4 linked regions of the Mus musculus genome follow. The protein of the gene in region 1 purifies or fractionates together with the protein of each later gene. This does not show direct contact. Links are inferred from orthologs where the notes say so. Each region holds a gene or a part of one and is shown in the gene's direction. Other genes may lie near its edges. The genes, in order: Epc2, Mbtd1, Kat5 and Ing3.

Region 1 (4,534 bases):
TTTAGACATTGACTACACTGGCTCACACTGGGGCTTATGGCTGTTGAATGTGATTGTTTTCTACTCCAATTTAGAATCAGAACAGAAAATATTTTCACTTAAGTGTCATAAAAACCAGCAGAAGTCACTTGTCTCTTATTAAGGCTGTAACTTGATTATTATTTATATCTACAGTAGTAAATGCATATATTTATCATTATTATTACTACTGTTATTCCATGGGCATCCTAAAGAAAGACTGCAAAGCTGAGGCCAGCATGATGGCTCAGTGAGTAAAGAAAGACACTTGCCACCAAGCCTGATGACTGACTTCTATCCTCTGACTTCTGTACATACATTGTGATACGCATACACATGCTAAACACACAAATAAACATTTTAAAAGAACACACAAAAATTCAAAAACAGATTTCAATTCCATCGTGTTATACAGTTAAAAACTGCATAGGAACAAAGGAGACTGTGGACATGAACATAGAGCACTCAGAAAGATTCGCCATTGGGATTCTACTTTGCAGATGTCTGTTGTGGCTTGTATTTGCATTCCATCTTTACAGGCTTATGTTGTATTCTGCTTATGTCACTACAAGTACTCTAATACTCTTTTATCCTTTATCAGTAACAGGGGGCATCACAGAAGAGCAGTTTCAGACACATCAACAGCAGCTAGTTCAAATGCAAAGGCAGCAACTTGCGCAGCTTCATCAGAAACAACAATCCCAGCATTCCTCACAGCAGACACATCCAAAAGCACAGGTGACCTTTCACTGTCCTCTTTCTCACGTTCCTACAGGTGACTCTGCTCCTCTGTCCCCGAGTTTGAGAATTAACCCAGATTTTCTTTTATTAAGTTATCTATTTCTGAATAGCTAGTTTCTAGACTAGTCTGGTTATTTGAGAGCTAAATGTGGTAGTTTTTGTTTAGGAAGAATTACTAGTTTTTAGAAGGATTGTTGAGAGTTTATAAAATAATTAGCTATTTTTTAAACCCCCCTCATTTTTTTTCAAGAATATGGCTTTTCTAACCTCTTCATGTTTATACTTAAGTCCTATGTCAGTACAGCTTAGAAGGAGAAGGAATTCAGTTAAATTATGTGGTAAATCTAAGCTTCACAGGCCCCCTTGCCTGTGTGAATCACATTTCCCTGAAGGGAAAAAGAAATGCCACGTGCCACCAGAAGTTCCTAGACATCCATAAATACAGACACAAGTGATAAAAGTGAAAATGCTGTAAAAGACTGCAGGAACCAACCCAGCAAAAGCAAACCTTGAGATGAGCCTTGGGAGACTCCTTGTGGGCCGTGGCTGCTAGAACTGTACAAGAACACGGTACTGTTGCTTTAGGCCATTGAAAGCAAAACAAAAATAAAAGGACTTAGTCTCAAAGTTGAATTGGCAAAATAAACTTCACATTTAAGGTCTGAAATTTTGTTGTCCATAATTTTAAAGAGCAAGAATCTCTGTAATAACTAAGACTAACACCATTCAGTCACACACTTTGAGTTCTCAGACCAAGGTCTACCAACAATGCTTTAGTTCATCCTCAAGAGTCTGTCCTTTTACATTAAAGTCTTGAGTTGACACCATGGAAATCTTGATGAGCCACACCCCTGTGACAGTACTGGTAGATCTGGACTTGGCTTATAGCCTGCAGCTATCTATGTTAGTACCAGCCAGTTCTACACAGAAGCGTGGAAGAGTGGCCATTGTACTTCGTTTGGCTTGGTGTTTTTGAATCTCTTCAGGTAACTACCCTGAAGTGTTTGCAGACTGTTTCAAAGCTGAGTCCGTCTAGGTATTTACATTGTGATAGACTGGTTATGAGTCATGGCTGGGATTTCATGTCATCCAGTGTCTACTCATCAAGCAGTTTCTAAAGTATTTATTATTATGTAAGAAGATTAATAGAGCATGGGTTTTTCAGTTTGATAGTTCTTTTTCAGAAATAATTATTTTCTAGTTTCTAGTTATTTTCATGCTTCATATACCAAAAAATTCTGAAGTCTTAAATCTCTCATCTAAAAACGTATTATGACTATGTCTGATTAGAATGGCAATATCCTTTTGAGTGCCACACATTTCTTAATATCATTAATCACATCTAACAAAACAGAGTATAGGGTGCTGGCAGGGTGGCCTAGCAGGTAAAGGCACTTGCTGCTAAGTCTAACTACCTGAGTTGGATCCCTGGAATTGTCATTGTGAAAGAACAGAACCAACTCCTGACAGTTGTCCTCTGACCTCCACACACACACATGCTGTTATTCCCCCACCCCAACACATGCAGAAAAATGGAGAGTGATTAGATAGATAAATAGATGTGGAAAACTGAACTGTGCTGCTATCCGTTTTTTAGGGCTCAAGCACCTCTGACTGTATGTCTAAAACACTTGACTCAGCCAGCGCCCACTTTGCTGCATCTGCAGTGGTCAGTGCTCCTGTTCCAAGTCGCAGTGAGGGATCCAAGGAACAGAACACTGGCCACAACAATATGAATGGTGTTGTCCAGCCTTCAGGTACAACTCGGGTTTCTGTAATACTTATTAACTTAAAATTGCTACTCATCAAGTTGGGTTTGATTTTTTTCATATACACAGGGGAAATGTATACAGTGCTGTTCAGAATGCCTTGGACTGATACAAATGAATAGCTGAGTGTTTCCCAGAATTCTCACTGTACCTTCTATCTACCTATCCATCCATTCTGATTCCATTCATGACTCTCAGTTGCCTCACATGTTAGGAAAGCCATTGAGTTCATTGTTAACCACCCCTATTGGATCATCTATAAATTGTTTATAAAGTGAAATAAAAACAGCACAGTCTGTTAAAAAGTCTGAAGTCGGGTTTGCAATCCCACGTGCACATGCAGAAAGACACTTCCCCCCACTCCTCCTCTGATACGTTGCAGCTGTGAAAGCCACTTGCTGCTTACTGCCCGACCCCAAAGACGTGCTGCTTGGTCCTCTCACAGCTCCCAAGCTCAGACTTCTCTGGGTTTGTTTATATGTACTCAGGATCACTTTGTTTTTTACCCCTTTCTGTAGTCTGCCCTTGCTGATCCTGTGTGCCTATAAATCCTTAGGAAAACACAGCTATCATTTTCATCTGTCCTGTTGTATTTATCTCCAGAGTTGCCACATACAGAGGGAGCAAATGCCACATACAGAGGGAGCAAAATGCTTTGGAAATCTCCTTATATGACTGTGATATAGAAAGTTAGCTTCATATTTATTTAATTAGAATATGAGTACATTTATTTTATTACTGAGTTCCTGATTTTTTTAAACTTTTTTTTATTGTCTCATCACACTAATTGAGTGATTGTTCCCTCTTCTGCAGGACCCTCTAAAACATTATATTCCACCAATATGGCTTTATCATCCAGCCCAGGGATTTCAGCTGTACAGCTTGTAAGGACAGTTGGCCACACTACTACAAACCACTTGATCCCAGCGTTGTGCACAAGCAGTCCTCAGACACTTCCCATGAACAATTCCTGCCTGACCAATGCAGTGCACCTCAATAACGTCAGTGTTGTTTCTCCTGTCAATGTGCATATCAATACACGGACTTCAGCACCATCGCCAACAGCCTTAAAACTTGCCACAGTTGCTGCCAGCATGGACAGAGTGCCAAAGGTTACTCCCAGCAGTGCCATCAGCAGCATAGCCAGGTGTGTGCACGAGTGGGTACTGTTCCTGAGCTGTGCTCTAGCTGTCCTGAATCAAGAGAAGCCCTTTTGACTTTGTGCTGCTCAACTATATCTTTTGACAGACTTGATTTTTCAAAAGCTTGAGGATTTGCTTGCTACAAAAAAGCTCTTTGCCTAGTAGCATCCTTAAATGCCAACCAGAGTTGTAAAAAAAGAAAGCATAAAAAAGTCAAATTGACTGATTTTAAACACTTCAGTCAGTCTCATCATGTTTTAAATTTTTTTTATTTAAATAAGCTAGGTGGTAGTGGTACATGCCTTTAATCCCAGCACTAGGGAAGCAGAAGATCTCAGAGTTCAAGGCCAGCCTGATCTACAGAGCAATTTCCAGGACAGCCAGAGATACACAGAGGAAATTTTATTAAAATTATTAAACTTACTAAAAATGTTTTATATTTATTATTTTATGTGTCCGAGTGTTTAGCATGCATGCATGTGTGTGTGCGTTGTGTACATACCTGCTACCCAAGGATACCAGCAGAATACATCAGATCCCTGAGACTGGAGTTACAGATAGATGCAAGCCATTATCTGGATGCTGGAAATCAATCAAACCTGGGTCCTCTGCAAGAGCAACAGTGCTCTGACTGAGCCATCTCTCCAGCCTCCATCCTATCTCATTTTTATAGATTGAGAGTATAGGTTGAAGCTGTGATCAGAGCTTAGGTTGAAACCAAACTGTTATTCTAAGCTTTATATTTTTAAAAATAATTTTCATTTTTGTAGTATGTGTATATATATATATGTGTGTGTGTGTGCGTATAAATTTGATGAATTTTCAAGTTTTGCAGGGCAAGTTTTTATGTTCCTTTCAATAGCA
Region 2 (4,722 bases), on another chromosome or scaffold:
GCAGCCACTGGTCTTAGCTCCCACATGAACTTTTTAGTATTTTAGGTATTAAATAGTATTTTAAGTGTCCACTTAATGGATACTTAGCCTTCAAAGATTAAAAAAAAGGCTCTCTCTTTTTAGATTATCATATGCCTTTTAAAAATTGGGGGGGCGGGGGTGGTTAGGAGGTTTTGGTTTGGTTTGGTTTTTAGTTTTTCAAGACAGGGTTTTGAGACAGCCCTTGTTGTCCTGGAACTCACTCTGTAGACCAGGCTGGACTTGAATTCAGAAATCTGCCTGCCTCTGCCTCCCAAGTGCTGGGATTAAAGGCGTGCGCCACCACCACCCAGCTTGTTTGTTTTGTTAAGATATGATTTCCGTATTCTTGATAATCTGAAACTTATTATATAGATCATACATATTTTCCTGCCTCTGCCTCCAGAGTGCTGGGATTAAAGGTGTGCACAACTACACCCAGCTATCCATCTTTTAAAAGAAAGTTATTTTTTAAAAAAGAAAGTTATGTTTTTAGCAACTCCCATGATTTAACCACTGACCTTTAATACCTTTACCTTGGGTTTTTCTCTAAGATAGGATTCAAGCAAAAAAAGATTTTTTTGAAAGTGTAATTCAGCTAATTTAGTTTCCTGAAAAAAAAAGAGTAAAAGTGTTAGACTGTCCTAAAACCTAGTATTGCAAGTTGTAGCTCTTGATTGGTAGGAGCACTTGCCTACCATGTTAAGGCCCTCAATTAGATCCCCAGTGGTGCGCGCGCGCGCACACACACACACACACACACACACACACACACACACACACACGCACACACACACGGCAGAAGTCTGTCCTTGTAGAAAACAAAAAAAGTCACATTTGCATTAAAATAAGGAGGCATACACATGTGTCTGCAGGGGAGCATCTTCATAATGTGGTACCAGAAGCTCTTCATATCACCAAGTAAAGTAGCACGTCTTCAATCCATGCTTTGAAGTGGAGACAAAAGGACTAAGGAGGAGGTGTTTACCTTCTACTACATAGCATATTTAAGGCTAGCCTGAGCTATTTGGAACCCCAATCTCAAAAATAAAAATATATCTTTTTAAGATCTCAAATGAAAAGAAATTACCTTTACCACCTAAAATCTGAGGTTTCATGTACTAAAGTTACTGACATCTTAAGGTTATGTTAATTTTAAATTAACTGTTACCTAAACCATTTGTATTTTTTTAGGTTACACAAAACTTCCTTTTAAATGGTTTGACTACCTCAGGGAAACCGGCTCCATTGCAGCACCAGTAAAACTATTTAATAAGGTAAATGTGAATGGTAGCATGATCACGACATAAGAGTGGAAATTTTTCTTGAGTTAATGTTCTTTGGCTTGTATTAGAATTTCTTAAATCAACAAAATTTTTCTTAGGAAAAGAAGCAAGTTTATAAACATACTTTGTGTGTGTGTGTGTGTGTGTGTGTGTGTGTGTGTGTGTGTGTGTGTGAGTGTGAGTGATGTGTGCACGCATGTGTGTGCCATGTGGTGGGATAACTGAGGAACTGTTGTGAGTTTTGGGAAATGATTTCAAATGTTTCATTTGTGTCCTTCTGAGTACCAGTGTTAATACTTTATTTCTCTGTATTAGGATGTTCCAAACCACGGATTCCGTGTAGGAATGAAATTAGAAGCTGTAGATCTCATGGAGCCACGGTTAATATGTGTAGCCACAGTTACTCGAATTATTCACCGTCTCTTGAGGATACATTTTGATGGTTGGGAAGAAGAGTATGACCAGTGGGTAGACTGTGAGTCCCCTGACCTCTATCCTGTAGGGTGGTGTCAGTTAACTGGATATCAACTACAGCCTCCAGCATCACAGTGTAAGTTACTATATAGAAAACATGTTCTTTTATTTTACAAAAAAAAAAAAAAAAACCTGCAAATTCTCCATAGAACTATCTCATATCTCAGAGGGCAAGCTCACAGGACAAGAATATATCAATGTCTGATGAGTTGCCAGGTAAAATCCCAAGACCCAACAATATCACAGAATTAGACTGTGTATGCCATGGCAATGTGAACTCCATATTGGTGACATAAAAGTAAAATAGAAAAAAACAGAAGTTACCAAATTAAACTACACTACTGTTGAGCTGCATATTATAGGCTGAAAATGCATTGTTCATAAATGCTGTTGAGTAAATAGTAAGGCTCATGGGTTTTTTGTTAGATATTTTCTTTATTTCAAATGTTATCCCCTTCCCTAGTTTCCCCTCCGAAAACCCCCATCCCCTCCCCTCACTCCTTGTTCACCAACCCACCCATTCCTGATTCCTGGCCCTGGCATCCCTCTATACTGGGGCATAGAGCCTTCACAGGACCAAGGGCCTCTCCTCCCATTGATGACTAACTAGGCCATCCTCTGCCACATATGCAGCTGGAGCCATGAGTCCCACCACGTGCATTCTTTGGTTGGTGATTTAGTCCCTGGGAGCTCTGAGGTACTAGTTAGTTCATATTATTGTTCCTTCTATGGGGCTGCAAACCCCTTCAGCTCCTTGAGTCCTTTCTCTAGCTCCTCCATTGGGGACCCTGTGCTCAGTCCAATGGATGGCTGTGAGCATCCACTTCTGTATTTGTCATGCACTGGCAGAACCTCTCAGGAGACTGCTATATCAGGCTCCTGTCAGCAAGCACTTGTTGGCATCCACCATACTGTCTGGGTTTGGTGGCTGTATATGGGATGGATCCCCAGGTTGGTCAGTCTCTGGATGGTCATTCCTTCAGTCTCTGCTCCACACTTTGTCTCTGTAACTCCTTCCATGGGTATTATGTTCCCCCTTCTAAGAAGGAACAAAGCACCCACACTTTGATCTTCCTCCTTCTTGGGTTTCATGTGGTTTGTGAATTGTATCTTGGGTATTCTGAGCTTCTGGGCTAATATCCACTTATCAGTGAGTGCATACCATATGTGTTCTTTTGTGATTGTGTTCCCTCACTCAGGATGATATCCTCCAGTTCCATCCATTTGCCTAAGAATTTCATAAACTCATTGCTGAGTAGTACTCCATTGTGTGAATGTACCACATTTTCTGTATCCATTCCTCTGTTGAGGGACATCTGGGTTCTTTCCAGTTTCTGGCTATTATAAATAAGGCTGCTATGAACATAGTGGAGCGTGTGTTCTTATTACATGTTGGAGCATCTTCTGGGTATATGCCCAGGAGTGGTATTGCTTAAAGAATGATGATCTTCATAAAAGATTGTATAATTGTTCTGTTACCAATGTTCCCTTTTATTTTTCAGCATCAAGAGAAAGCCAATCAGCTTCTTCAAAACAGAAGAAAAAGGCTAAGTCTCAGCAATACAAAGGACATAAGAAAAGTGGGTCACCATGTGTTTGCATATATTTTCTAATTGTTAAACAATTAAGGTCACAGTATTCTTGCACAGAAAATTACATCCCTGTGAGAACTGATGTATGTTCACTATGTATTATGCTTAAAGGTGCAGTATGACATAAAAGGCAAACCTTCTTGATACTAAGAAACAGTTTTAATTGACAGGAGAAATAATCAGCTGGGCATGGTGACACACGCCTTTAATCCTAGCACTCGGGAGGCAGAGGCAGGGGGATTTCTGAGTTCAAGGCCAGCCTAGTCTACAGAGTGAGTTCCAGGACAGCCAGGGCTACACAGAGAAACCCTGTCTCAAAAAAAAACAAAAAAGGAAGAGAAAGAGAGAAAGCAAGGAAGGGAGGGGAGAAAGAGAAAGACAGGTATTCGTTATCTGTGTGTTTTCAAGCACACAGCTAGAGAATAGAGCCTTATAATGATTCTTGAAATAATTATAGACCTACGTAAAGTTAATCCCTTTTTAAAACTTTAATGAAGCAATAAAACAGTGCTTCATGCTTACAGTAGCTGTCATTAACTCTCTATCTGGAATGATAATCCTGAGAAATCCACACTTATTAAGAAGGGCTGGGGCCGGGTGTGGTGGCGCACGCCTTTAGTCCCAGCACTTGGGAGGCAGAGGCAGGTGGATTTCTGAGTTCGAGGCCAGCCTGGTCTACAGAGTGAGTTCCAGGACAGCCAGGGCTACACAGAAAAACCCTGTCTCAAAAAATTAAAAAAAAAAAAGGCTGAGGACACAGTCCGGGTAAAATGAAAAAGTGGAGGCTTAATGTGCTGACACACTGCTTTGGTCCCAGCACTGAGAATGCAGAACCAGTCCATCTCTTAAGTTTGAGATGAGTCGGGTCTATGGAGCAAGTTACAGAACAACCAGAGCTACACAGAGAAGCCCTGTCTCAAAAACAAACCCAGTAAGGTGAAGAATACTGTGTCTCCAAATGAAGAACACATTCCTACATACATCCATGGTGTATCACAGACACACAACAGAATGAGAAAACGATCAGAGTTGATGTCTAACAAAGTCAATGTTTTAATGCTTTGTGTAACTGTAAATTATGATTGTCATTATTAGCCACAATAATAATCGTACTTTTCACTGCCGTAATAAGCCATGGGTTTCTCTATTCGTGAAACTTGCAGAGTATTTTATTCTTAAGATTTAAAAAAACAACAACAAAAGTTTTAAGGTACTCTCTATAGTGAAATGGACCTAAGGCTGATCTGAGTATTCTCTTCCTGATTTCAGTTATTTATAATTTTTTAGGTAAGGAACCTAATTACTGTGCTGGGCTTTGAAAACAAGTTTTCTTCTAGCATAAAACCCTATCT
Region 3 (5,513 bases), on another chromosome or scaffold:
ACTCAGAAGAACAAAACCACACTTGGATACATATATGTACATAATTACAAAGGCTGGAGAGAAGGCTCAATGGTTAAGAGCACTTGCTACTCTTGCATAAGACAGGGGTTCAGGGCTGGAGAGATGGCTCAGTGGTTAAGAGCACTGACTGGTCCTGAGTTTGATTCCCAGCAACCACATGGTGGCTCATAACCATACATTTGTAATGAGATCTGGCGCCTTCTTCTGGAGTGTCTGAAGACAGCTACAGTGTACTTACATATAATAAATAAATAAACCTTTTAAAAAAAGGTGTTGGGGGGGTGGGGGGGTAGGGGGGTGGGGGTGAGATAGCTCAGTGGGTAAGAGCACCCGACTGCTCTTCTGAAGGTCAGGAGTTCAAATCCCAGCAACTACATGGTGGCTCACAACCATCCGAAACAAGATCTGACTCCCTCCTCTAGAGTGTCTGAGGACAGCTACAGTGTACTTACATATAATAAATAAATAAATAAATAAATAAATAAATAAATCTTTTTTTAAAAAAGTGTTCAGTTCCCAGCACCCACAATGCCTCCTTCTGGCCTTCACAGGCACTGTGTGTAATGGGTGCATGACATACTCAGGTGAACAGACATAAATAAATAAAATAAAATACATAAATTAAAAAAAAAAAAGCCTCACGGAGCCAAAGCAAGGAAGCAGCAATGGCTCCACCCCTGTGAGGCTGTTGTGAGTAACAGTGGTGATGCTTCAGTTCCTCAGGGGAAGACTGGATGTTCTGAAAGATGGCACAACTCAGAACTCACAAGAGAGAAAAATGCCGTGTGCTGTCATATGCCTGTTGTCATCCTTGTGACAAGTCCCAGGCCAAGCAGGGCTACACAGTGAGACTTCACCTCAGAACAAACAATAACAAAAGGCCTATTGGCTTTTCAGTACTTCTTATGCTGAACATATTTTGCACACAGATCAAATCCAAGTGTTATTATTAATGCTCCTGTGATGAAACCAATCCTTTACTTCTGCACATAAACTCTTCTCAAAGTGGCCAAATGGACCCGAAACCATTTAAACTGGGAACACTTAGAAGTAAGGCTAAAGGGCCCCACTACACCCTTTAGGCATGTTATCAATATCTGTGATAGTTATTTTTGGTTGTCCATTTGACTACATCTGGATTTCACTAAAACCCAAAAATGGAAGAACACATACGTGAACAATTTTGCCTACTCTGAAGTGGGAAAACCCACTGCTTTGTGTTTTTAAGAGGATTTCTCAGTGTAGCCCTGGGTGTCTTGGAACTTGCTCTGTAGACCAGGCCTGCCTCTGCCTCCCCAGTGCTGGCAAGCTGGCTTGGTGGAAGATCCACTTTGAATTCACATCTTTGAGGAGGGAGAACACACCTTTGTTATTCAAACCTATTCTTGTTATTCAAAGTCAGAAGATGCACCTTCTGCTGGAAACTAAAAGAAAGACATGAAACAAGATTTTCCTCCCTGCCACCCCCAGGACAGGGCTTATCTGTGTAACCCCGCTTGTCCTGGAACTGACTCTGTAGACAACGCTGGCCTCAACTCATAGAGCTTCGCCTGCTTCTGCCTCCACTGCCAGCCTGCTTTTACTCTGCCTACTTGCTCTCACTCTCGTTGACAAGTCCGCTCCTTCACTGTCATTAGCGCCTACTTCTTTGGGATTCTGATGTATAATGAAGACCAACTGAGACATCCATTCTTGTTGACTGAATGCCTACTGGAATTTTGAACCTTCCATGTATACAGCCACATATATACTATTTTAAAAATAGAAATCCAGTATTAACGGAAAAATCTTGCTAAGCCCCCAGGCCTGTGCAATCTTATGCAGACACCTGGGTGGATCTCTAAATCCCTTCAGGTCTACTGACTCCCCAGGGTTCAAAACCCCACTCCTTAGCTTCTTACTCAGGGTGACACCTCACACTGCCACTAAGAGGCTCGCCAGAACACTGCCTCTAGACAAAGCCTAAACATGATCTGAGTGACCGGCGTCGCACCCGGTGGGCGTCACGTGACAGACTCGGCGTTCCTCCAATCGCTGTGCGAGGAGCGGGGATTCCATCTAGTACTTGGCCTCAGGTTTACAACGTCCTGCTCTTCCATTCCCCAAACGGGCCGGCTTTTTGCTACCAACCAGCTAGCAGTGATTCTCAAGTGTTTCCCTTTCAAACAGCTTCAAGGGGCTCGGGCCTATAGCGCACTCAGCTCCGGAAGTGACGTCTCCCAGAGGGGCCGGAAGTGGCAGTGGAGGGAGGGAAGATGGCGGAGGTGGTGAGTCCGGTGCCCGGGGCGGGGCGGAGGGAGCCAGGGGAGGTGGGTAGAGCCCGAGGCCCCCCAGTAGCCGACCCTGGCGCCGCGCTGTCTCCCCAGGGGGAGATAATCGAGGGCTGCCGCCTGCCCGTGCTGCGGCGCAACCAGGACAACGAAGATGAGTGGCGTGAGTGACGTCGGGGGGCGGGTCCAAGGAACCTGAGGGCGAGGGGCGGGAGGGAGTCAACGATCGCACGGGAGGGGGAGGGGCTTCTGCAATCCCGGGGCGGTCGCAGATACTCGGGAGGAGGGGCGTGGCTTTTGGACGTACGGAGATGATCCGGGCGGGGCTTGGAGAGAGGTGTCACTTGGTGACTAAAGGGGTCTTGAACCAGCCCCTCTGAGTGCTGGGACACAGGCCTCCAGCCTGGAGGTGGGATTCAGGTCGAAGGGTGGAGTCTCCTGACCTGCCCTGGCTAAGACTCCCTGTCTGTGTGGTTCTCATAGCCCTGGCTGAGATCCTGAGCGTGAAGGACATCAGTGGCCGAAAGCTTTTCTATGTCCATTACATTGACTGTGAGTCCTGGGCCTGGATGGAGTGGGGTTGCTGGAGAGGGTTGAGGGCAGCCTCTGGCATTCCCTCCTGAGCCGTTTTCACTGCTGCAGTCAACAAACGTCTGGATGAATGGGTGACTCACGAGCGGCTGGACTTAAAGAAGATCCAATTTCCCAAGAAAGAGGCCAAGACACCTACCAAGAACGGACTTCCTGGGTCCCGCCCCGGCTCTCCCGAAAGAGAGGTGGTGAGTAGGTCCCCCATTTCATCTTTTCTCTCCTGCCTCTTCCTTCTTGCATCTCTTGGCCTCAGGGGTTCCTGAATGGGCAGGAGGCAGCATTCTTCTGCCATGGCTTCAGCTTGCAAAGGATGGGGACCAAGTTGCAGGCGTAGCTTCCAGAGTCCAGCACTGCCTTGCTTTAGAGAAGGCAGAGGGTGGGATTCCATGCTGAGGGGCCCATCCCCCCCTTCGCCATCCCACCACCATCCCCACCCCAGAGGAAGACCCTGGACCTATCTCTGCAGCCGGCCTCCGCCCAGGCCAGCGGGAAGACCTTGCCAATCCCGGTCCAGATCACACTCCGCTTCAACCTGCCCAAGGAGCGGGAGGCCATCCCAGGTGGCGAGCCTGACCAGCCGCTCTCCTCCAGCTCCTGCCTGCAACCCAACCACCGCTCAACGGTACCCTCAGCAATTCCAGGGACCTTGCTTTCTTCTCAGGTCCCACCTTCTCTACCTTCTGACCCACCTTTCCTGGTTTCTCTCTGCAGAAACGGAAGGTGGAGGTGGTTTCACCAGCAACCCCAGTGCCCAGCGAGACAGCCCCAGCCTCGGTTTTCCCTCAGGTGAGTCTTCCAGTCTTTTTTCATGTGTCTGAATGTTTTGTCTGTGTTTTGCATGTGTTCTACTTGCATGCCTGGTGCAGGTGGGCAGAAGAGGGCATTGGAGCCACTGAAACTGGAGTTAGAGATGGTTGTGAGCCACTCTGTGGGTCCTGGGAAAAGAACCCAGGAAGTCCTCTGGAAGATCAGGGCTCTTAACCACTGAGCCATCCCAACAGCCTGCCTGGTCTTTCCCCTCTTATTCCTTGCTGTCTAGCATCCTCCTCCAGGATCATCTCACGGTCGCTCTTTCTCTTGTGTCTTGTCCACAGAATGGGTCAGCCCGTAGGGCAGTGGCAGCCCAGCCTGGACGGAAGCGGAAATCTAATTGCTTGGGCACTGATGAGGTGGGTCTTGAGGAGCAGAGGGAGAGGGAAGCCGGGAAAGGGGGAGTGGGCTTGGGCATGGTGTTCACTCGGTGAGGCCTTAGGCAGGGAGGGTGGTGGCTGGGAGCCAAGCAGATGAACCCCTGGGCCTCTTCTACTCTCAGTTTCTCAGCCTCGCTTTATTTTGGAAGTGGAGGTTGGTGCTTTGCCCTTAGCTGATGTTAGACTTGCAGGAAGAAGCCAATGGCAGTGTCGTGCGCCACGCTCTGCTTAACTGCTACCATCTAGTATTTGCCATCTGCCTTGGGCAGGATTCTCAGGACAGCTCAGATGGAATACCGTCAGCACCACGAATGACTGGCAGTCTGGTGTCTGACCGGAGCCACGACGACATTGTCACCCGGATGAAGAACATTGAGTGTATTGAGCTTGGCCGGCACCGCCTCAAGCCGTGGTACTTCTCCCCGTACCCACAAGAGCTTACCACGCTACCCGTCCTCTACCTGTGCGAATTTTGCCTCAAATATGGCCGTAGCCTCAAGTGTCTGCAACGCCACTTGGTATGAGGGGTCTTGGGAGGCTGCCTATCCAGAGTACCCTCACCAGTCCCCACCTGATCCTCCTTTTGTCCTTAGACCAAATGTGATCTTCGGCACCCTCCAGGCAATGAAATTTACCGCAAGGGCACCATCTCCTTTTTTGAGATTGATGGACGGAAAAACAAGGTTAGTGGCTTGGGCACGGCTGGGCTGGAGTGAGTCACATGAACAACCTTTTCCTGCTCAGAACAGTTGACCATTCTGCCTATGAGCAGGTCACTGTTTTTATTGAATTCTTGACACGGAGCAGGGAATGTACAGAAAACTGGGATTTAGAGAAATTTTCTTTCCTGAGAGGTCACTGTCACGGCAGAGCAGACATGACAGCTACTCAGGTTCCAGTAACAGAGGGGGTTCAGCACAGTTCACAGGAAGCTGTCATCAGAGCTTGGAGGTGTGTGTGCCTATAATCCCAGCACTCAGAAAACTCCCGAGTTCAAGAGTAGTCAGGGGACTAATGAGTTGCAAGCCAACCTGAGCTATAAAGTAAGAAAGACCTATCCGGAACCAAAACAAAAAACAAAAAGAAGTGAGGCAGCAAAGGTTAAATATAAAACTAGAGGCATTTAAAGAACAGTTTGGCCCAGCATGGTGGTACATTTATAATCACAGCATCCAGGAAGCTGATGCTAGAGGAGTTGACATTCAAGGATAGTCTGAACAGCATAGTAAGGTCTTTTCTCAGAACCAAATAAAAAAAGGATCTTTGGTTGTGTGTGCTGGTACATCCTTTATTCCCAGCATTCAGGAAGCGGAAGCAGGTGGGTCTCTGCTGGTTTATAGGGAGTTCCAGGCCAGCCAGGGCTAATACAGTCAGATCTGCTTTGAAATAGTTTGCAGGTTAACCTGTGAGCCTGGAGATAGCTGAGAGAACATACTTAGAT
Region 4 (5,344 bases), on another chromosome or scaffold:
AAGAAGACAACGTCAAAAATCAGTTCTCAAGGAGGAGTCTAATAGAAGACAGGATCCCAAGAGGAATAGTCCCTATGTAAGAGTAGGTGAGCAATAAACTCTTTTCATATAAGAGGCCACTAAGAAAACATGCTTGTCTTGGACTTAAGAGGCCAATAAGGAAGAAAAAGTCTCCCTTGAGAGTATATAATGAAGTATTTTCATTACAGGTTCCAATTCAATCTATCGGTGCAATAGAATAAACCTCAACTACATAACTTAATTTGACCCTAAGTTTGATGGTGTCTTGCAGCAAAGTTGCAGAGTCAAATGCTAATATTCTCTAGCAAAACTCGATTTTAACTCCAGCAGTGAAATTTCTCTATATTTATAACCCTGGAAAAGTGAATTCAGAGTTAAAAACCCCAACACAGATGAAATTAGGCACTGTAAACAAACGTGGCTGCTTTTGAACAAAGAGCACAAACAGATAAATAGTTTTAGTACAAAATTTAAATTAAACAGGTGTAGACTAAATATATTTAACATTCAAGTAATAAGAAAATGGCTTTAAAAGAAGACAAAAGAGAATACAAGTATGTCATTGTAAATAAAATTGTAACATAAAAATATTGAGTAGTGAATAAAATGTGTCATACTGATTTATTTTCTTTTGTATGAGAAAGGGTCTTCCATAATCTGGGTTGGCTTCTAATTGCCTATGTTGCCAAAGCTCACACTCCTAATCCTCCTGTCTCAATTCTCCCACTTAGGGGATTACAGGTGTGTGGTGTTATAATCCACCAGATAGTCTAAGAAGGGATCATTTTCCCCAAAACACAGAAGCATTTAGTGTACGAATTTTTATGAAAGGCATTTTTAAGATAGAAACGGGGCGGTGATACACTTGTTATACCACCAGTGAACATTTGCTAGGGTTATTAAAAAAGCCTGCCCAGAACTATAAACATTAACCCAGCTACTTACCCAACATAAATTTAAATCATTGTTAGTATATGCCAGCAATGCATTAAATCACTATAATTTATGGTTGGTTGTTATTTATTCATCTATTTATTTACTTTATTGCGGATGCATTTGAACAGTTGTTTTACAATGAACACAAGATACACCGCAAAACATAACTGGCTACTGAATACTATTTTGGGTGTCTTTTAATTTGGGAAATGCACATTCGCTCCAGTCTCACTATAAATTATCTTAACGTTGCAGGGACACCAATCACTTGTCCCATTTATTTATCAGGAGTGAATAATGAAGATAAATTCCAGCAGCGAGTTCTGTTCTAAACAACCTGAATTTTCCGAACTTAGCCGATTATTCTAGCGTTTGGAATCTTTGCTATTTGCCTAGCACAGCCAGAAATCCATGACTCACAAACGGCGGGCTTAGAATCACCGCCCAGAACAGGTGAAAAGTTGTTCCTAGTTGTGTCAGGCAGGCGCATACAACTCCCGTCATCCCCCATGTAAGAAATCAACAAATAAACAGAGGCACCGCATTTCGGATTCTGGCGTGCCCGTTTCGCGCAGGCGTGTGGTTTCTGTAGTTGCCACTCCAAGAGACACCCTCACTAATGGCCACGCTCGGGGAAAAAGAAGACTACATTTCCCAGAATACCGCGGAGATCCGCACCGGCCGGTTGACGTCATCGCTGCAGACAGCCAATAGCAACGGCGGGCGGCAGTGAGGCAAGCGCCGTCAGGCGCCAAAGTGGAGCCTTTTTTTTTTTCCTTTGCTTTTTTTTTTTTTTTTTTCCTTTGCCGGAGTCGAGCGGGTGCTGCTAGCGGAGGCGCCATATTGGAAGGGACAAAACTCCGGCGACAGCGAGTGACACAAATAAACCCCTGGACCCGTTCGTCCCCGCAACAGTCAGGGCCGCGATGTTGTACCTAGAGGACTATTTGGAAAGTGAGTGCGCGGCGCCGGCGACGCGGCGGGCGGGATCGGCGGCGGGCGGGAGCGCGAGTGGCCGGGCGGGCGGGATGGCGGGAGGGAGGGGGAGCGGGGGATGTTTCTTTCTCACGGTAACTGGCAGCCTCGTTGTGAGCCGCCCCCCCTCCCGTACGCACGCACGCACGCACGCACACACGCGTGACGCCAGCGCGTCCCTTCGCCGTTGGCCCCGCCCTCTGACGGACTGTGCCTTTGACAGTGATTGAGCAGCTTCCGATGGACCTACGGGACCGCTTCACGGAGATGCGCGAGATGGATCTGCAGGTGCAGAGTAAGTGGCGCGTCTCCACGGCCCCGCGCAGCCCCGGCCTCCCTCGGGCATCGCCTGGCGGGTCCTCCGCGCTACTTTTTTCAGGCTGTGACAAGGAGGCGGCGGGCACACCGTACCGTTAACACGCGGGGCACAGCAAACACAGTTGTTTGTGTACTGCATGGAGATGACGACACTGCACCGCAGTGGAAACTCGCGTGATTTTCAGAAGGTTTGCACCCGAGCCTGGATGTGGAAACTTGGAGTTCTGCATTCAGACTTAAAAGTTCATTACATTCCGAATTTCTCCAGAGCAAAGACATAGAAGGGCAGGCTAGGGACCCTAGTGAACTCGGAAGGCCGAACTTTGACAAGTTGCATATTAATGGAAGACACTTAGAGCTGTGAACAGCGTGGACACTTTCTCAGCCAGAAATGAGTGAGAGAGATCAGATTTTAAGGAAATCACCCGCTTGCTCTTTAGAAAACTGTAGACGTTTGATAGGCTTCCCTACTGGTTTCTTGTTTTGTAAACACAACCACGTCATTCAGGCTGGTCTCACACTCAATATGTATAATAATCCTAGGCTTGCTCTAATCTCCTCATCTTCCTGCTTCTGTCTGCCTAGTGCTTGGCTTTTCAGGCATTGCTAGCATTGATTTTTTTTTCTGTCAGTGCTTGGCAGCTTTATATGTGACTTATTTCCAAAATGAACCTTGTTCTTTTGAAAAAGCCAGACTGGAAGAGGCTCAAAGGTAACTTGAGTTTGCTAAGGGCTTGTTCTCTTCATTCATGAGCCTCTGCCGCCCCTGCCCCTCATTTCTGTACCTTTTGTCCCTGACTGTACTTTTCTCATCTCAGTCTCTGGGTCATCTCTTGGGGTGCATTGCCCAATAGCCTCTCATAAATCTGTGACTGGAATAGGTGTGCTTTTTCTCTTTGACTTTAAGGTAGTTGCAGTAGTAAACACCTGCCGAAGCACATTCCAGAGGGATTGAGTAGAGTTTGGTGGCAGACAGATTTGGGTTCACTCTTGGACAGGACGACTAGGACAACTCCAGCCTTGCTGCCTGGGGGGCTTGTTTGCTTTTTTTTTTTTTTTTTAAAAACTGACAGTCTTCTGAGGATTTAAACTAATACAGATAATTAGGATGTATAATGCCCATTACAAATAGGTTTAGAATAAAGGATAATTTAAAACATTGTCAATCATTCAATTTTTTTAAAATTCTGGGATAGTTTGGATTTAATCTATTCATATGACAGTGCTTTCAAGTTTACTTACTTTGTAATCCTGGAGTTTTCGGAAACAAAGTGAGTAGGCATTAAAAGTATCAGCATGTCTAAGGTCAGCAAGTAGCTGAAAGTAAATTGTGTTTTAAAAATGAAGATTAACTAGAGCATCTCAGCATCTTTTGTAAAAAGCCATCCTGCTCTGAAGTTGCTTAAATGATAAATATAGTGGGCAATTTTTTCTCCATTTCCATCACAACAAAACCCCTTTTATTTATTTTTTTAGCAGCCATCCACTGAGGTCATTATTTTTGACCTGGGCTTTGGCGAAGCCTTACATAGAGTAAATAGCATGTGTGTTGAGTGAATAAATGGTGAGCAACGGTCACATATATTATCCCTTCCTGTGAGAGGACGTGATGAGGTGCTTGGTGCTATGGAGCAAGTGTTGACTCTGTCATCACTATTTTTATTAAAAGAAGTATGAGACCGTCCCAGGAGTACTGTTAGTAAGCAGCTCTGATTGCCGTAACCAGCTGACTTAATGCCATTAACTTTGATTTCAGTGCGGGTTGTGGCGTAGATCCTTGTCTGTACAATTCACTCTACCTTGATTACTGGAAAATGTTTTGAAATAGCAAAGTCAGTACAGAATATTTCAGCTTTTTAAAAACTAATGTAATGAAGGCACCACTGCTTATAGTACAAAATGTGTATAAGCTAAAACAGAGTTGTCAGATGTCTTTTTTTTTTCCTCAAATCAAAGCAGTTTGGTCGGCTAAGTATGAAATGTTTTATTGTGTCAGATGCAATGGATCAACTAGAACAAAGAGTCAGTGAGTTCTTTATGAATGCAAAGAAGAATAAACCCGAGTGGCGAGAAGAACAGATGGCATCCATCAAAAAAGTAAGTGTGATGCCTTGGATAATTGGCAGTCACATTGGGACCCTCTAGGAGAGATAGTAACATTACGTAGATACCTGGATATGGAGTGAGGGCACTTATGAGGGACTTGGGGGCACTTGGTATATTCTAGACCAGCAGTTCAACTCAAGGGGCAGATGACCTTTTCACAGGGTCACCAAAAGCCATCGGAAAACACATTACGATTCAGAAATAATCTCATGGCCGAGGCTCACCACAGCATGAGGACCTTTGTTAAAGGGTCACAATATTGGGAAGGTAGAGAAGCACTGGTTTAGAGCTTCCTGTAATTCTTGCTGAAGTTTATTTTAGCTAGTGCTGCGGGCCTTAAGGCTGTCCTGCAGATTAGATTACAGATTAGATAAGCTCACTAGTGCTGTGTGTGTGTGGGATCTGGTGTCTTTCTTTAGTGGTGTCTAGGAACACAACTTTCAAAGATTTGGCTTTGGTCCTCACTGCCATGTAGCTGTGTGACCTGGGTCAAGTCTTTTAACATGAGGAAGAATAAGTCCTTACGCCTAACCTTCATATAAAGTTTTCAGGGATATACAGAAACATTAATCTTGGAACTGAAAATTTCAATTGTGTTATTTATTCTTCCATCTGTAAGGAAGATTGTCTGTTAGGAGGGGGTAAACCAGCTTTCCTAAGAGAAGTGGTCCTGGCTTGTAAAAATGCCCAGGTATGAAGGAGGTTAGAGCTTGCGTATGTTAACCTAGAGTTCACTAGCCATCCTTTTCAACTAGAAGTTTTTCATGCAGCACAATTTGAACATACCCCCAAAAGTCTAGTTGTCTGTGGAAACACATAGGGTACTTTTTTCTTTTATGAAAAGAAAATTTTTGGTTTTTAAAAATAATATGGAGAAATATAAATTATAATTTGAGTGGTATTAATTGATAACCTAATTTAAAACTAGAGCTGTCAACCAATTGGATAGCAGAAACCTACAGATCAGAATCCTTTCTATGGCTGTAGT

What was found.
Region 2: the proteins of Epc2 (region 1) and Mbtd1 purify together in Homo sapiens (affinity purification with mass spectrometry; 3 studies listed by BioGRID and IntAct, with this or other methods). This does not show direct contact. The link is inferred for Mus musculus from reciprocal best matches to the Homo sapiens genes EPC2 and MBTD1.
Region 3: the proteins of Epc2 (region 1) and Kat5 purify together in Homo sapiens (affinity purification with mass spectrometry; 3 studies listed by BioGRID and IntAct, counting the BioPlex papers as one, with this or other methods). This does not show direct contact. The link is inferred for Mus musculus from reciprocal best matches to the Homo sapiens genes EPC2 and KAT5.
Region 4: the proteins of Epc2 (region 1) and Ing3 purify together in Homo sapiens (affinity purification with mass spectrometry; 3 studies listed by BioGRID and IntAct, with this or other methods). This does not show direct contact. The link is inferred for Mus musculus from reciprocal best matches to the Homo sapiens genes EPC2 and ING3.

The regions. Positions count from the first base shown.
Region 1 is NC_000068.7:49,545,090-49,549,623, forward strand, and holds part of Epc2 (enhancer of polycomb homolog 2), read left to right. Parts: intron 1-619; coding exon 620-756; intron 757-2,356; coding exon 2,357-2,516; intron 2,517-3,341; coding exon 3,342-3,675; intron 3,676-4,534. UniProt on the Homo sapiens protein: May play a role in transcription or DNA repair.
Region 2 is NC_000077.6:93,930,601-93,935,322, forward strand, and holds part of Mbtd1 (MBT domain-containing protein 1), read left to right. Parts: intron 1-1,212; coding exon 1,213-1,295; intron 1,296-1,619; coding exon 1,620-1,854; intron 1,855-3,280; coding exon 3,281-3,358; intron 3,359-4,722. UniProt on the Homo sapiens protein: Chromatin reader component of the NuA4 histone acetyltransferase complex, a multiprotein complex involved in transcriptional activation of select genes principally by acetylation of nucleosomal histones H4 and H2A.
Region 3 is NC_000085.6:5,606,793-5,612,305, reverse strand, and holds the start of Kat5 (histone acetyltransferase KAT5), read left to right. Parts: upstream 1-2,211; 5' UTR 2,212-2,276; coding exon 2,277-2,288; coding exon of another isoform or gene 2,289-2,387; coding exon 2,388-2,454; intron 2,455-2,561; exon of another isoform or gene 2,562-2,774; coding exon 2,775-2,843; intron 2,844-2,933; coding exon 2,934-3,070; intron 3,071-3,321; coding exon of another isoform or gene 3,322-3,348; coding exon 3,349-3,504; intron 3,505-3,593; coding exon 3,594-3,668; intron 3,669-3,976; coding exon 3,977-4,051; intron 4,052-4,341; coding exon 4,342-4,590; intron 4,591-4,665; coding exon 4,666-4,755; intron 4,756-5,513. UniProt on the Homo sapiens protein: Catalytic subunit of the NuA4 histone acetyltransferase complex, a multiprotein complex involved in transcriptional activation of select genes principally by acetylation of nucleosomal histones H2A and H4.
Region 4 is NC_000072.6:21,947,883-21,953,226, forward strand, and holds the start of Ing3 (inhibitor of growth protein 3), read left to right. Parts: upstream 1-1,732; 5' UTR 1,733-1,883; coding exon 1,884-1,911; intron 1,912-2,155; coding exon 2,156-2,227; exon of another isoform or gene 2,228-2,438; intron 2,439-4,246; coding exon 4,247-4,347; intron 4,348-5,344. UniProt on the Homo sapiens protein: Component of the NuA4 histone acetyltransferase (HAT) complex which is involved in transcriptional activation of select genes principally by acetylation of nucleosomal histones H4 and H2A.